Linked DNA regions of Rattus norvegicus. The protein of the gene in region 3 interacts with the protein of the main gene of each other region in a biochemical or structural test. Links are inferred from orthologs where the notes say so. Each region holds a gene or a part of one and is shown on either strand. Other genes may lie near its edges.

The links.
Region 1: the proteins of Hdac5 (region 3) and Zbtb16 form a complex in vitro, tested with the Homo sapiens proteins (2 studies listed by BioGRID). The link is inferred for Rattus norvegicus from reciprocal best matches to the Homo sapiens genes HDAC5 and ZBTB16.
Region 2: of the proteins of Hdac5 (region 3) and Sik2, one has a biochemical effect on the other in vitro, tested with the Homo sapiens proteins (2 studies listed by BioGRID). The link is inferred for Rattus norvegicus from reciprocal best matches to the Homo sapiens genes HDAC5 and SIK2.

What each region holds. Positions count from the first base shown.
Region 1 is NC_086026.1:57,898,161-57,903,125, reverse strand, and holds part of Zbtb16 (zinc finger and BTB domain-containing protein 16), read left to right. Parts: intron 1-3,545; coding exon 3,546-3,716; intron 3,717-4,965. UniProt on the Homo sapiens protein: Acts as a transcriptional repressor. Transcriptional repression may be mediated through recruitment of histone deacetylases to target promoters. May play a role in myeloid maturation and in the development and/or maintenance of other differentiated tissues.
Region 2 is NC_086026.1:60,210,804-60,215,768, reverse strand, and holds part of Sik2 (salt-inducible kinase 2), read left to right. Parts: exon of another isoform or gene 1-85; coding exon of another isoform or gene 86-121; intron 122-2,570; coding exon 2,571-2,687; intron 2,688-4,636; coding exon 4,637-4,700; intron 4,701-4,965. UniProt on the Homo sapiens protein: Serine/threonine-protein kinase that plays a role in many biological processes such as fatty acid oxidation, autophagy, immune response or glucose metabolism.
Region 3 is NC_086028.1:87,672,706-87,678,323, reverse strand, and holds the start of Hdac5 (histone deacetylase 5), read left to right. Parts: upstream 1-1,754; 5' UTR 1,755-2,291; coding exon 2,292-2,442; intron 2,443-5,618. UniProt on the Homo sapiens protein: Responsible for the deacetylation of lysine residues on the N-terminal part of the core histones (H2A, H2B, H3 and H4).

The DNA.
Region 1 (4,965 bases), on a different chromosome or scaffold from region 3:
GCACACAAACATAACCTCACATCCAAATATGAATATAACAGGAAGCAATAATCACTATTCCTTAATATCTCTCAACATCAATGGCCTCAACTCCCCAATAAAAAGACATAGATTAACAAACTGGATACGCAATGAGGACCCTGCATTCTGCTGCCTACAGGAAACACACCTCAGAGACAAAGACAGACACTACCTCAGAGTGAAAGGCTGGAAAACAACTTTCCAAGCAAATGGTCAGAAGAAGCAAGCTGGAGTAGCCATTCTAATATCAAATAAAATCAATTTTCAATTAAAAGTCATCAAAAAAGATAAGGAAGGACACTTCATATTCATCAAAGGAAAAATCCACCAAGATGAACTCTCAATCCTCATCTTCGATTGGTTTATATACAAGTGTGCAATTTCTAGGCTTGAAAGTAAAATGATGCTATTTGGTGCTGGATAGAGGAGCCTTATTTTTTATTATGGCAGCTTGCTATTTTTGTAACATGGTAATTTGGTTGAACACAATAAAGTACAGTAGTAACTGATCTCCCCCTCTTCCTGGATGAGTGAGGAGATGATTAAATGTTGATGTCAGCATCCATGAGCATATTCAGATGAGCTTCTGCTTCTGTTGAAAAGGATGCTGTGTTTGATTGTGGTCCGAAGCTTTGAAGCACTACTTGGCATCTCCTTCCTTGGAGGTCTCACTGTTTAAACATAACAGATTTGATAGCTTGTTGGTAAGGTGAGGTCCAGCTTGTCTCCACTAGGTCATCTTCATGGGAATCCGGTGGTTATACAGTTTTGTTCTAGGGATATTTCATTTTTTAATAACGGTTTTAGCTGACATTCATGGAGAGAATGAATCCTTAGAAGTGTGCCACTAGTGAAAGGAAATCCTGTCTAGAGTATGTTTCTTTACAAAGCTGTGTCACACCATCCTTTGGGCCCTCTGCTGGAGAAGTAGAATCAAGTCTCAAATAATGCCTTTTAAATTGTATCCTCTAGTATTATAGATGTAGGACAGTACTGTATCATACCTCTGTGGATGTAAAATAGCTCGTACCTGCTTTATGATACGTAGTAGTGACCGTGCTTTATCAGAGCTGTTTTTAATGATGTTGCTCAGAAAGTTTTCTTTCCAGATGATGATTGAGAAGCTAATTTAAAAAAAAATGGTGCCAGGTACCACAAGAGTAACAGAACTGTGCTGTTTTCTCGGGTTTTGTTTTTTTACTTTTTTTTTTTTTAATGGAGTGTGCTGGATGTCTCTACAGTTTTGTTCAGATGACTGCAGAACCTGGAAAAGCTGTTGCTGCTGTTGATGCATAACACACTGCTATTATTGGTCTTTTTATATAAATATAAATATATATATACAGATAAAAAAAATAGATGGAGAGCCATCCTGATGTTAACCTCTGGCCTCCAAACACCCCGTCACACCCGTATACCATACAAAGGTACACGGCTACACAGACTAAAACCTAAAGATAAATAGATAAATGGGATTCAATTGGTGTTTTCTAGAATCAAACGGACCAAGGCATTTTCTAGATTCCCTGCTCTGCCTCTTTCTCACTGTGTGACCTTAGGCAAGTTATTTAATCTCTATTTTCCTCTTTGGAAGAAGGTGGGAAGGATGCCTGTCTGGTAGGGATGCATGTTTTAAATGTGGTGACAGCACAGATAAAGACCTAGCTGAAATGGTGGTCTTTAGTCCCTGTCCCCCTGCCCACACACACACACCTTTGAGGAGGTGGACGGTTCTTCTGCCATGCAGCCCTCCTGGCTGTTGGTAGACAAGCATGGCTGCAGGTAGTTTCGGTGTCTGCAAAGACAGGAGCCAGTGGTTAAATGTGAGAAGAGAGAAGAGAGAGGATGGTGTTGGTCTAGACTGAGCCGTGTGTGGTCCTGAGGAAGCAAGACCCAGCCCTCCCACTTGCTGTTGCCATTGCTAGTCAGGGAGGCAGCAAAGCTCTTCCTGTCCCTTTCCTTCCTCCCTTACCTGTCCCCGGGAGCTTCTCATGCCACCCTGAGCAGCCCAAGACTTTCAGCAGCCCAAATGCTCTCGTGCCCTTTCCTCTTTGGACTAGACTGGCAGATCTGACCTGACTACCTTTTTTGTTAGTGTCCCTCACCTAGGAGACAGCACTGTGGGACTGAGCACAGACCATGCCATCCAAATATGGGCAGAGAGAAAAGCAGATGGGCTTGTGTTGGGAGCTAATGTTCTTAGAGACATGGACTCCAAAATGGCAGGCAAGGAGCTATGAACTGAGACTCAGCTGGAAGACTGTGTCAGGAAGGTTTTGAGGAGTGGAAAATAGCAGCCTGCCTTCGTGGGCTTCAGTAGGGCACCTAGGCTACTGGGCCAGCCAAGCATGTGACTAGGTAGAACTGAATGAATATTTCATATGACTCACTAGTTTGAAATCCTTCAACAGCTTCCCATTGGTCTTAGGATGAACCCCAGGGCTTGCAGTATGGCTGGGCAGGACCCACATGATCTGGCTCCCAGCTCTTCCTTTCACATCCTCCCTGCTTCTAAAGTTAGGACTGGACATCGTACTCAACCTGGTGTGGCTCTCCCTGAGTGTTCAAAGACTTGGTGCACTGTGTGCTGGGTGGTGTTGAGATCAGAGCAGGGACTAGTACACTCTTCCATTGTTTCATCTCCAGAACCCCAGAGAGTCTTCCTTGTAGGAAGTATCAACAGTACTATTTATGAAGTGGCTCTCAAGATGCCTGATTTCCTAAATGGGAAAGTGGTTGTAAGAACGTGGTCACTGGTGGCAGCGGTGGTGGGCGGTGGGGTTGGTGGGGGAGACGGCAGTGGCAGCACGCCGTACTTGAACTGCAGCGCTCAGGATGCAGAAGCAGGCAGATCTTTGAGTAAAAGGCCAGCCCTGGTCTACAGATAGAGTTGCAGGACAGCCAGGACTACACAAAGAAATTCTGTCTCAGGGGTAGGGAGAGGGGAGGGGAGGACAGTGGTCTACAGGTAACCCTAGGGAATAAGTGAATAGATCCCTTTGCTGCTCCCAACTGGGAACCCTATGGAAATTGGTGTGGGTTAATCTCCCTGTGCTTCTCTCTCCTTATATGAGGTTTGTGGTTTTAGGTGAGTTATGTCATAACAATGGCCAACCCATCTGATCCAGGTTATTGTTGGTTCACCTAGAGTCTAACCTGTCTTTCCACTGCTGCCTCAGACTCTGTAAGTCCCCGTGGTCACACCTTTAGTCCGCCAGCTTCTCCTGCATTGCACTCAGACCCTTGCAGAGACACATCTGTGTTACCATCCACGTGGTTTTCTATGCTTCTCTCCAAGCCTTTAGGTCTCATGGAGGCAGGGCACCATTGGCACCTTTCCTCTAAGCTACGTTCAGGGTGCTCCGTCAACGTCACGTGGCCTGGGTTGCCCAAGGCAGTTTGACTTAGAGTGTGGGGTTTAGGGTTTCTAGGGGCGGCTCTGGGTCTTGCCCCAGCCTTCAGGGATGAAGATCTGGCCTTGGGTCTCTAAGTTGCTGAAGCTCTCCCATTGCTGTCTCCTCCAGGCACGGACATGGCTGTCTTCTGTCTGCTGTGTGGGAAGCGCTTTCAGGCACAGAGTGCACTCCAGCAACACATGGAGGTCCACGCAGGCGTGCGCAGCTATATCTGCAGCGAGTGCAACCGCACCTTCCCCAGCCACACGGCTCTCAAGCGCCACCTTCGCTCACATACAGGTAGGCTGGTCCAGGGGATGGGTGGGAGCATCTCTGGACCTTATATCTGGGCTTCACCTCCAAAAATACATGGTGTTTGTGTGCAGGGGGGAGGATGTTTCAGGTTGAAGCATTCTCAGCCATTCTCTGCTTGAAGTTAGACACAGAAGGGCTCCCATAGAACATTTAAATGTTGTCAGTTTTCCCAATCTACCACCCACCCCTCCACCTGTAGACATCTGTTCCCAATCTTTCCACACACAGCACAGAAAATATTCATTAAAAGAAAAGCGTACTCTTGAGGTTTACCCTCGGAATCTTTGGTTCTGTGGTTCGGGGTGGGCTCTAGCTCTCAACACCACTAGTGAGTATTCCCAGGGGATTCTGATAGTGGAGGTGGGGAGTTGCAAATTGCATTTTGAGAAAAACTGGCCTAACTATTACAATCCCACGATTTCCCCCAATCCATCCTAGAACAGCAGTGAGGGTCAGCTCAAGGCTCCAGAGGATACAGTGAGGAACACATCCCACCTCCATAGCAGACACAGGAGGTCTCACTGTGACCGTAATGTTCTCTAGGGAAGACAATGAGTATTTGAGCATGAGATAGCCCTGCCCAGCCAGTTCACACGATGGAGTGAAAGACAGAGTATATGTGAGTCACGTAGGCGGGCTTAGTTGCCCAGTCCTGGCCTATCCTTGCCACCACCCTCTTGCTTTAGGAGATAGGATACCCAGTTCAGAGGGCCTTGAAGGAGCTGTTGGTCTTTTCCTATCTGAGGAATAAATGATTTAACTCCTTTCTTTGCTCTAAAACAAAATGAGATCATGTCTTACTGTCCCTGAGTGAAAGAATGCCAATTCCTGAATTGCATATCTGTCTTGTCTGTTTCTCTCTCTCTCTCTCTCTCTCTCTCTCTCTCTCTCTCTCTCTCTCTCTCTCTGTATATGTGTGTGTGTGTGTGTGTGTGTGTGTGTGTGTGTGTGTGTGTGTGTTCCTGATCTGGTTTTGCGGGAGAGCTGATCAAGTCTCTCTGTAAGGATATAGTGGAATACATCCACAACATAAATGCTCTGCACGCTTCAGGGAAGCCTGGAAGAACTTCTCATTCTCAAGAGCCTTTTCATAGCTGAGGAAAGGAGTATGTGGCTCCCTTTAAATGGATGACCGGCTCTGATGAATGAAGAAGGAGTTTTACTTTCAGGAGCTGAGCTGTACGGTCCAGCCAGTCATCACCATTCTCACCAAGGAGCCTGCCTTAGCTCTGGG
Region 2 (4,965 bases), on a different chromosome or scaffold from region 3:
GACTCAGGCCTACTCATTATAGCCATTGGGAAAAAGCTTGGAGAAGAAACTAGGCATTCATACCTCTACTCTCAAAACTTAGGAGATGGTGGTGCAGAGCCTCCTAATTCACTTGTATTTGGTATGTTTGAAATAAAATTGATATCACTGTACATATAACCTATGTTCTTGTATTTCACTTGTTAGTAACAAACAGTTCCAAGTCTTAAAAAAAAACACTGTCTAAAAACATCCACTGTAATGGTAAAGATGGTCCAAACCAAGATTGATGAGGTGTAGGAAAACAAAACGCTTCTTTAGCAATTGCTAACAAATAGAAAATAAGGGAAACTTTTGGAAATAGTTTGGGAGATTTTTTTTTAAGCTTTAAATCGTATCACATACAACAAGAGTCAGCCTTTAATCATCTGCATTTACCCTAAAGAAATTAATGCATATGTCCATAAATGGAATGTGTCATTTGTATATAGCAGCTTTATTCAGTATAAAGCAAAACTTGAAACAAATGCAGAGAGAGAGAGAGAGAGAGAGAGAGTAAGTGCGCGAGAGAGCGCAAGCGCACTGTGTGTAAGGCAGTGGTTTTCAACTTTCATAATGCTGCAGTCTTTTAATACAGTGGATACCCCCAACATAAAATTGTTTTTGTTTCTACTTCACAATTGTAATTTTGCTATATTGCATTGTAATGTAAATGTGATATGCAGGGCATCTGATAGGTGACCCTGAGAAAGGATCATTCAGTCTCCAAGAGGTCACAACCCACAGGTTCAGAACATCATTTGGAGACATCTTGCATGTCACTACCACATTGTATTTAACTCATTTGCTTTTCTAAGCGTAAAGTTCAGCTTTCTCTCTTGCAGTACTCTGAGTGTTCCAGAGGATATTCTTTTGCGTACATTTGCATACCCGATTGTTTCCTCAGAGCAGTTTCAATGTGGTGGAATTCTTAGGTGAAGAGTCCATCCATTACCTCTCTCAAGGACACAGTCTCCTCTGCAAAAACAGTACCCATAACTCCTGTTAGGAGAAACACTTTGAGGAGTACTACTCTATAGGGTTCTCCCTCCTCAATGGACAACATTTCTTCATTTGTATGTCTTCGTGACTGTAGTATTACATGATAGCTACTTGCATTTTTCTTGTAAATTGCTTTTTGTGACTTTGCTTCTCTTTTAATTGCCTTGTTTTTTGCTGTTCAAATGTTTTAAAGTGAGGAGTTACTTTGCACTACTTCTCTAATGGTCATGAAATTATTCTCAACTGCTTATATTTTCATTTTTAAGTGATACATTTAATTTATTTATATAGAAATCCTTGTCACTAATTCAGACTGTTCCTGTCAGGTTCTTTTTCAGCATCAGAGTCTTCAAATTTAATGGAATATGTGATTTTTTTAAGGTCCTTTATAAAAGCTGTTAAATTGCTTTCTAGAAAAATTATGCCTTATTTATATTCATATAGAATTTCTACGAAATATTGTCTGCATGATCAAGAGGCCAAGAAGGTTCATGTGGGTATCTACTTTTCAATCTTTGCTAATATAAAAGTGAAAATGACATGTTTTTGTTCGTTTTAAATTCACATTGTTTGAATGTGTGGTTGAGGGGTTAGCTCCTTTATATAGGGTTTTGAGTGATAGCAGTCTTTCTGATTTATCTGGTATGTTCCTCTCCTACATTAGAGAGGAAGTTTTGCTTTTCCTCCTTAGTGGAAGGAGTATTATTTTTAAGAGAGCATGTGTATAATCAAGAGTTAGACAGTTGAATGATTCAGTTAACATAAAAGAGGTCCTTCGATTAACAGAATCAGTTTTGGCCTTCTTGGCCTCTTGATCATGCAGATTTTTGTTCTAGGTTTAGAACTATTAACAAGTAAAAGTTATGCAGAAAAACTAAATTTATACCTACCTTTAACTCAAACAGCATTTTGTAATTTGGGGACTTTCAGTATGCTTTTGAGAAATTCCAACACTTTCTTAAAACCAGTTTTAATCATCTCACCCTTACAAACATGGTAAGTTCTCTAAAAAGAGGAATCCCATTTGATTTGTTTCTGTATCCTAGTTATAGTATTTGGCATACAGTACATGTATGGTGAGTGAACTTTAAACATTTAAAGGAAGTTGATTTTAGAACGGAAGAATTGAGGTCGTATTTGTCCATCTGTCCCCTCAGCCACCTTAATTTGCTGGAGCTTTAGAGCCTGCTGATTAGTCTTTCTTTTGGGGGCTGGAGCTAAGAAGGGCTTGGTGATTTGGACAGAGGGCCTCATGCAGGCTAATATGCGCTAATATGTAATACCTTTTCGATCTCTGTTTTATCAGCTCCTAGAACTGCTTCTTCCAGTTATTTGACAAAATTGAATGATACATGAGATAAAATGCATTTAAGTATCTTGTAAAGTTAGGAAGTGTTATGCAGTTGGCAAAGTTACTGTCCTTATTACTGCACTTCTGAGACATTCTTGGCAGATAGTCCATCAGGCTCGGCAGAGATTCCTTGATGATCTTACCTGGAGACTATTGAGTGTTATATATTAATTGTATTTATGTGTCTTCTGGACTGCAGGTGGCTATAAAAATAATAGACAAATCTCAACTGGATGCAGTAAACCTTGAGAAAATCTACCGAGAAGTACAAATAATGAAAATGCTCGACCATCCTCACATAATTAAACTGTATCAGGTACGGCTTACCCCTGTCTCTCCTTATGCTTTCCACATCCAAATGCCTGGTCTTGTGATTTTACTTGTGTGCTAGGTTTCCTAGTGTACTTTAAAAAGGTTTCTGATGCTAAGTCTATCCCTTTCTATATATTTAAATTTGTAAAAATGGAACTAGGACACTACTTGGTAATATAACTAATAATATAAAAGTTGTCTTTTAGACTATGAGCTAGCTATTTTAAAATTTGGCAGTTATACCTAAACTTGCCTGGTTTGCAAAGGTAGTTGCATCATAAATAAGGATGTCGTACACATGGTTTATTTGAAAAGATTATGTTTATGTTTTATGAAATAAAAAGGCTAAAATAGTATATTACATAGAGGCAAACTTTGTAATACCTAGAGTCATAACTTTTCTTATTGTTTTGATGAGTCATAAAAGTAAATTTTTTTTAAAAATCAGTTTTATTAAGAAATTTTGTAAACTGTGTCTGAGTTTAAGCTATATGTTTTAAAAGGAATGTTTTCTCAGATTTTTAAAGTAGTATTTCATATTTAATAATCAACAAACTATCTTTAAAAGTTTCTGTTGATTAATGTACCATATATTTCGATCGAAAATGACTTTTTAAACTGGAAGGTCCTGGTAGCCGGACCTGTGGCTTTGACGCCCTGTGATAGGTGCAGCCATGTATGCTGTACTCAGTCTGTTTTCAGAAGCTCTGTGAGCTGATGGACATCACATTAGGAACGCAGTCTCAGCGAGTGTATAATGTCGTAGGAATGGCATCAAAGCTCAGATCCCTGCTCAGAAGGCCAGTTTTGGCTGTCACACCACTGCACTCAGGTGGGCTACCCAAACGTATTGGGATTGTAAGAAAAGGTTTTAAAACTTAGTTTTGTTTATTATGTCCTCGAGTGCATTTTATACAGGGCACACATACATAGTTTGTTCTCTGTCTCTTCTTCTCCCTCTTTCTCTATGTATACATACACATGTACATATACTTATATACACATGTACATGTATATAATTATAAACAATGCTATTGTTTGACAATTTCAACTTAAAAACTTGGAAACCATCAACTTATGATAAACCTCCAAAGTGTGTAAGAATGTGTATGTTGTGCCACTTACAACGGTTACTAAACATTGCTTATCTTGAATCTAAGTTAGGTGTCTATTCCTATAGTTCTAAAATTCAAATTGCTAACAATGATATACTTTCTTTTTGAACCTAGAGAAGCTAATTTAAATGAAAACAGTAGATTTATGAATAAACAGCTTTATAATTTCAGGAAGCTGGAGAGATGGCTCAGTGGTTAAGAGCATTGGCTGCCCTTCCACAGAACCCAGGTTCAATTCCCAGCAACCACTTGGCAGTTCACAACTGTCTGCAACTCCAGTTCCAAAGGACCCCTCACACAAACATACATGCAAGGCAATCAGCAATCCACATAAAATAAAAATATATAAATCATTAAAAAATAAATAAGATTACAGTAACTTGTAACTATTAGATAGAGAACAGTAGAGAAGAACATGGATATCAGGTTGTACTGGCTCAGCTCGACTACAGCCTGGATAACACAGCACGCAGACTGAAGTGACGAGGCAGTGGGAAAATCTGCAGAAGTTCTTATTCCCCTCCTTACACTTGATGTGCACACGAATCACTTTTGTTAAAATGTCAGTTCTAATTCAGTAGTACTTCAGTCAGGCCTGAAACTCTGCATTTCTAGCAGGGACTAGCAGCTGCTACTTCTGGACCATGGACTCACACTTAGAACAAGATTCTAATATCTACCAAAAGAATGGCATGAGTATATACTGAAGCCTGTAAATGGTTCTGACTTCTCAACTCTTCACAACTTACTCTTTCGCTTATAATTTTAATTTGTGCAGCTCTATAGTATGGTAAAGTAGTCCTTCCTGCCTGACTAATGTGGGATCTTTTATCAATAGGTGATGGAGACCAAAAGTATGTTGTACCTTGTGACAGAGTATGCCAAAAACGGAGAAATTTTTGGTAAGTTTTTTCCTTTATTTTTTTTTTAATTTTTTTTGAACTTAAGAAACTTACTGGCCTGCATAAATGGTGTACTTCAAATTAATTTTTCTAATTATTTAAGAATTGATAATATTTTAAGTTTTAGACTAACTAGGTAAGTTAAAATACGGAATATAACTTATTCGTATGTGTGTGGTATTAAAAGTACTTAATTTTCTCACTTGGATTAGCAACTAGAAAGCAAAAGAGAGGGAAAAACTTGCCACCTTCAAGAGGAATTTAT
Region 3 (5,618 bases):
AAACAACAACAAAAGGGAGACCTCCTTTGACATCAGGCTAATCTAGGGTCCCAGGGGCTTTGCTTTCAATTTGTCATAGCTGCTGTCCTTCCCTGAGCAGGGCTCCCTTGTCTCTCTCCTGTGCCTGGGGCAGGTAAGAGTGTGCCAGGACAGGGCTAGCCAGCCCTTCTGGTTGTTCTCAGCGTGGGTGGGTGGAGCTCCGTCTGGGAGGGGCTGCTACCCCCGGCTTTCTGGGCTCCCTTGTGTCTGCCTCTGACTGTCCTTGGTAGAGCCTCTGGTCTTTCCTTCTCCTCTTGAGAGACCTCGTTGATCTGGATGCAGCTGGGGGAGGGGCAGTAGATAGGTGATGTTTTCCAGCACCAAGCCCCCGGATTGCACAGGTCTCCTGCCTTTCCTTCTAGAATCTGTCGTGACTCCTTGCTCTAGACTCCTCCCACTTCAGTTCCTAGTCTACCACTGGGAAACAAACCCCAAACCCCAGGGTCATCTGCATCTCACTAGGCTTGGAAAAGCTTGTTTCTACCACCACCCTGGTGTGTGTTTTCCCACCTGAGGGAGGAGGCAGAAGCTTGGAAGATGGGTTTCTGGAGTCACAGCCTCCATGTCCTTGGTTGGACTGCTTCTCCCAGGCTCCTGACAGGAGGGTGAGGTCATCCAGTCCAGAGAGAGGACAGGTGTCCCTGGCTCCGTGCCTGGAGTGGGGGGCAAGGAGGGGGCAGGAGGGGTCCAAAATAGTAACTGTGACGTCAGGAGAGGGGAGGAGGCTATAGACCCAGGAATAACCAGTCTATTAAAAGGCTCCAGTGAGGTCAGGGGGCCAAGTGGGATCTCTTTATCAGTGGGAGGCACAACTCGGGAAGAAGGGGGAGGTCAACAGTGCGTGGTGCTGGCAGTGGCATCAATTTTGATGGTTCGGTGGCCCCATGGCCCAGGAAGGTGGAGAGCTGGGGCTACTCCACCAGGCCAGGGTGCTAACAGCTTCATGACTAGCTGGAGGGCCTCCAACCCCAAGTCTTTCTACTTGGGCACTGGAGGTCCTGTCCCTGGGACAGATGTATATTCTGCCCATGAGTTATGGTGGTCAGTGCTTCAGACTTCTAGTCCCAACCAATCCCGTGAGCAGCTCTATGACAAGAGTAACTTTCGTCTTCCTGTAACTCAGCTTCCCCATCTTGGCCTCTTTCTGGTGGTCATTGTTAGCATAAAGGCAATGATGTTTGCGGTTTGTGGTGCTCTCAGCTGGGTACATTGCCAGGAAAGCGTTGATTGAGCTGAGAATGGGCTGGTGCTGACCAGTCCCCTGCCTGGGCTGGGCAAAGCCTACCCAGAAAAATCTCTCTGCTCCCTGAAAAGAGGCGGAGTGCCAGAGGTGGTACTAGAATGGGTGGGAGAGCTGCCACCCCACTGCTATTTAGGGTCTCCCTGATAGTAAGACTGTAGGGAGGCATCTCCCGGCTCTGTGGGAAGGCAGAAGTTACACAAACTCCACAGGCTGTAAGGAGGAGGTGTGAGGTTAGACCAGGTGGTTGGGTGTCTGTCACCTCTTCCTAGTCTTTCTGATTCCTTTCCTCTGCACAGAAAGGGGGAAGATAGAAGATCCAGGCTGGCTGCTTGCTGTCCAGTTCATTGTTTGCCCCCAGCAGCAGTGGCCAAAGCTGATCCCAGAAGCATGGGTCCTCTCCTGCACCTTTCTCTAGTTCAGCCACTGGCCACCCAGGTCTGTGGCCTTGGCCCTGAGTGCAGGCCTCCCTTGCCCCCCTCCCCCTTGACTGGCGCTTCCTCCTGGGGTGGAACGCGCCTCCCCCCATGGGGCCTCCGCCAGGCCTGGGCTCCTGGCAGCCAGCCGGCGGCTCCCTGAGCATGCTCCACCTATTTATAGACAGGGCCCTCCCCCAACTGCTATTTCAGTCTCCTGCCAGCTGCCGGCGGCTCATTCGGGGAGGAGGAGCAGGGAGCCAAGCCCAGAGCTGTCACCGGTGGCTCTGGGAGGGAACACTGAGAGAGTCTGCCTGCCCACTGAGCTCCCCTTCCTGTCCCTTGAGCACCCAGCCATAGCCCAACTCCTGGAACCTTTAGACGGACCTCGGTCCATGCTCCCGTAGTGGAGAACAGGCCTGCAGCCTCTTCAGCCTCCCTGCGCCTGCTGCCTCGGGAGCGCCCAGGCCGGATGAGGTGCCTCCTTGCCTTGTGGGTCCCAGCGGCAGTGGCCTGAGGGAGTCCTTGAGCAGCCGGCTGGCCCTGCTGACCACCTTTCCCTCACCGGCTTCCGCCTCGGGCGGCCCCTCCCTGGCATGCTGCTGGTGCCCAAGGCACAGGGGCTTGTGGAGATGCTGCAGACCATCTATGAGACCGAGTCCTGTTTCTCAGCAGATGGCATGTCAGGCCGGGAACCATCCTTGGAAATCTTGCCACGGACTCCTCTGCACAGCATCCCTGTGGCAGGTAAGTGGCTCTGTGTCCCCACCTGCCCTCAGCTCTTGGGCATCCTCGCACCTGGTTTGAGCACCCCACTGTGAGTGTTGCTCCCTCGGGGTTCTGCTTCAGCCTTTGAGGGTTTTGTTGAGCATCCATGGATTGGAAGAACTGAGCGGCTAGAGCAGTTTTCCTTCCCTCCTTGCCCAGGGCCATCCTCTCACGCTGCCTCCTAGCCACTGTCTCTCCAGTGCCTCTGCCTTCAGCAGGGTCAGCCTCAGCTGCTAGGGGCTAGGGCTTCCTAGAGAATTCTGGCCTAGTTGGACCATGGTCAGAGGGGAGGAAGTGGGTCAGTGACCGATCTCCAGGCTGCCTTGCTCTCCCCACCATTGAGCAGAGGAAGAAGTTGTACCTGGAGTACCTACAGGAATCAGAAGCCAAGCTTCTGTGGCTTGGTTTGACCTGGTCAGAGTGTAGTGACTTTGGCAAGTTTCTGGTCTGGAGGCTTCTTAAGAATGGACACTTAGGAAGAGGCTTGTTGGGATAGGGTTGAGCAGAGGCTAGCAGCTGGGGTGTTTGAGGGTTTTGGCTTAGTTCCTAGTCTAGTTCCCTCCTATCTCTTCCTTCCCGGGGCTGTGGCTTCTTCCCACTTTCTGAGGATAAGGAAGTGTTTCTTTGACCACAGGTGGGCTTGAGGACCTCCCTTGTAACCTAAGCATGAGGATTCCTTGCCCTGCCACCTTCTCTGGGGAAACTTTTTTGATCCTTGGTAGGGGGTGGGGTCCCCCCAAAGCTGGCCACTCCTTCGCTCACTCCCAGAAACCTGTTGCCACCAGGCGGGCAAGATGCTTCCTCCAGGGAGGGACTTGCTGGACCCATGCCTGCTTGGCCCCTCCTGGCAGTGGCTGGCTTGGTGAGAGAGAGAGAGAGAGAGAGAGAGAGAGAGAGAGAGAGAGAGAGAGAGAATGAGAATGAATATATATGTGTATGTGTGGATCTGAAGGTTTCAATTAGAAGGTGGGAGCTCTGTTTCTCTCTGGTGGGTACCTGTGATTTGGCTCTCAGCTGTCCAGGGATAAGACTTCAGTAGACTGGGCTGTGTCGGAAGGATGTTTTGGGAAGGTTTGGAAAATCCTTGGAATGTGATTTGCTGTCAGCTTGGACATAGATAGGGATGCCCGTCCATTCAGTGTCCTAGTATAGGGCATAGTCATGGAGACCAGCTCTGCAGTGTGCCTACCAAGTCCCCGGGATGGAGCCCAAGAGGCTGGTGCTTGTTCAGGACTAATGGAACTACAGCTCTGTCCTCAACCCCCAAACCTGGGCCTCTGCATGTTCATGGGAACTCCTGGGAGGTTAAGGGATGTAGAGCATCACCTAGGGTGGCTTCTAGCTGGTCACCCATTCTGCAGTGAGCTACCAGTTGGCCCCAAGTTCCTGCTGATTTCGTCTTCTTTGCTTTGGACACCAGAATCCCTGAAAGTTTGGGACCACATTCTTCTATCCCTGGATATATATACCCCAGCCAATCCCTCTCTCTAGATCTCCACCCCCCAGCCCCCCCTCCAACCTGGCCTTCAGAGTGTGGTGCAGTCCCTGCTGGCAGGAGGGAGGTGTGAGTCACCCCAGCAGCTCGGGGAGAGGGCTAAGAATGTTCCCCTGAGCAGTTCTGATGCTGTGTCTGTGACGCGGCTGGGGACAGATATAGGCCTGGAGCTTGGCTGCTTTTTTTTTTTTTTTTTTTTTTGGACTCTGGAATGTAAATAGTCGTTTCAAATAGAAACACTTTAACCTTTGGGTTAAAAAAAAAATCCTCCCTAGATAAACATGGCCGTGAGGGCCCAGAAGCCTGGTGTTTCCCTTCAGTCCCTTTTCCCCTCATGCACCCTCTCCTTCCAATTTCTTGAGCAGTCTCGGGACAAGGCACAGAAGCCTACAGCCAAAAAAGCCCGTTTCCAGGGGTGTGTTCTCGGATGACGTTGCTGGTGTCCCCCACCCAAGGGATTGGAGAAGGGGCCTTCTGAGATGCTAGCTCTCTGTCCCTTAAAGCAGCAAGTGCTGGGAACTCTTATTTGGGGGCAGCTTTTGTTTCCTCTGCTGTGTTGTTGGGTGCTCATTACCCCCCCCCATACACACACACCTAGCGCAGTGGGTGGTACTTAGATGAATGAGTGTTGGATGAGGGGGTGGAGGCCCAGCCCTCTGGCAGGATGCCTGGGTGCTATTTTGGGGCTTGACCTGGTGGCTGGATAGAGACAGCTACAGTGGGCACCTAAGGGTAAGAGAGCTCAAGAGGGGCAGAAACACTCACTTAGCTCTTCTTGATTAAGGAAGGGGAAAGGGACCAATTTTCCTCCCATTGCGTGTGACTGGCTGTGTCTCTGTCTGGCTACCCCGTCACTGCCCAGTGTGCAGTGAGCACCTTCGTATACTAGGCTCGGTCCTAGCTTAAGGCTCCTGGGACCTTTGATTCCACTGTGAGATTCCCGATGACCCTGAGCGGGGCTCCGACTTCCCCTTGTCCATTTCTGCTTGAGCTGAGCCCTTGGATACTGTGAACTGTGAAAAGGAATGGCAGAAGAGGCTTCCCTACCAGCTGAGGGAGGTACGGATCTGGTTTGTGCCAGGAAGGAATGCTCTGGATGTTGGGAAGTCCCATGAGGTTCAGGTTTGCAACCGGGGCTTTCCCTGGCTGTTCCTATTTAGGTTCGTGAGGCCATTCCAAGCATGGCTGTGTGTCAGGAATGTGTAGGTGTGGGGATGCCAGGAAGGTAGGAAGGGCAGGACTTGAGTGGAACTAATATTGTAATCCACGAGGCGACAAGGATACTCGGGACTTTCCTTACTGGTCCCTTTTAGGAAGGATGTTACCCACATCCCATAGTGGAGAAGGGTTAGAGACATGAAAGACTTTACCCAGAGCACAGATTAAGTAGCAGCTAAGCTTTGAACTCAGGTTTGTCTGGGTGGGGCCGTTGTTAACCCATACAAAACCTTTCTCTTAGATTAAAAAAAAAAATAGTCCTTTGTCTGGGTGGGTGTGTCCTCGGACCTAGTGTCTATGGCTTAGTAACCAGAGCATGGGCTAGATTTTAACTGTTTGTCCCTTCAGTTGGGGACCCATCTGCAGTATCCAACATGTACAACCTTATGTCCTTCTAAAGTCTGAGCTCCTAGAGAATAGGGCTCATTCTGGCTCCACTCCT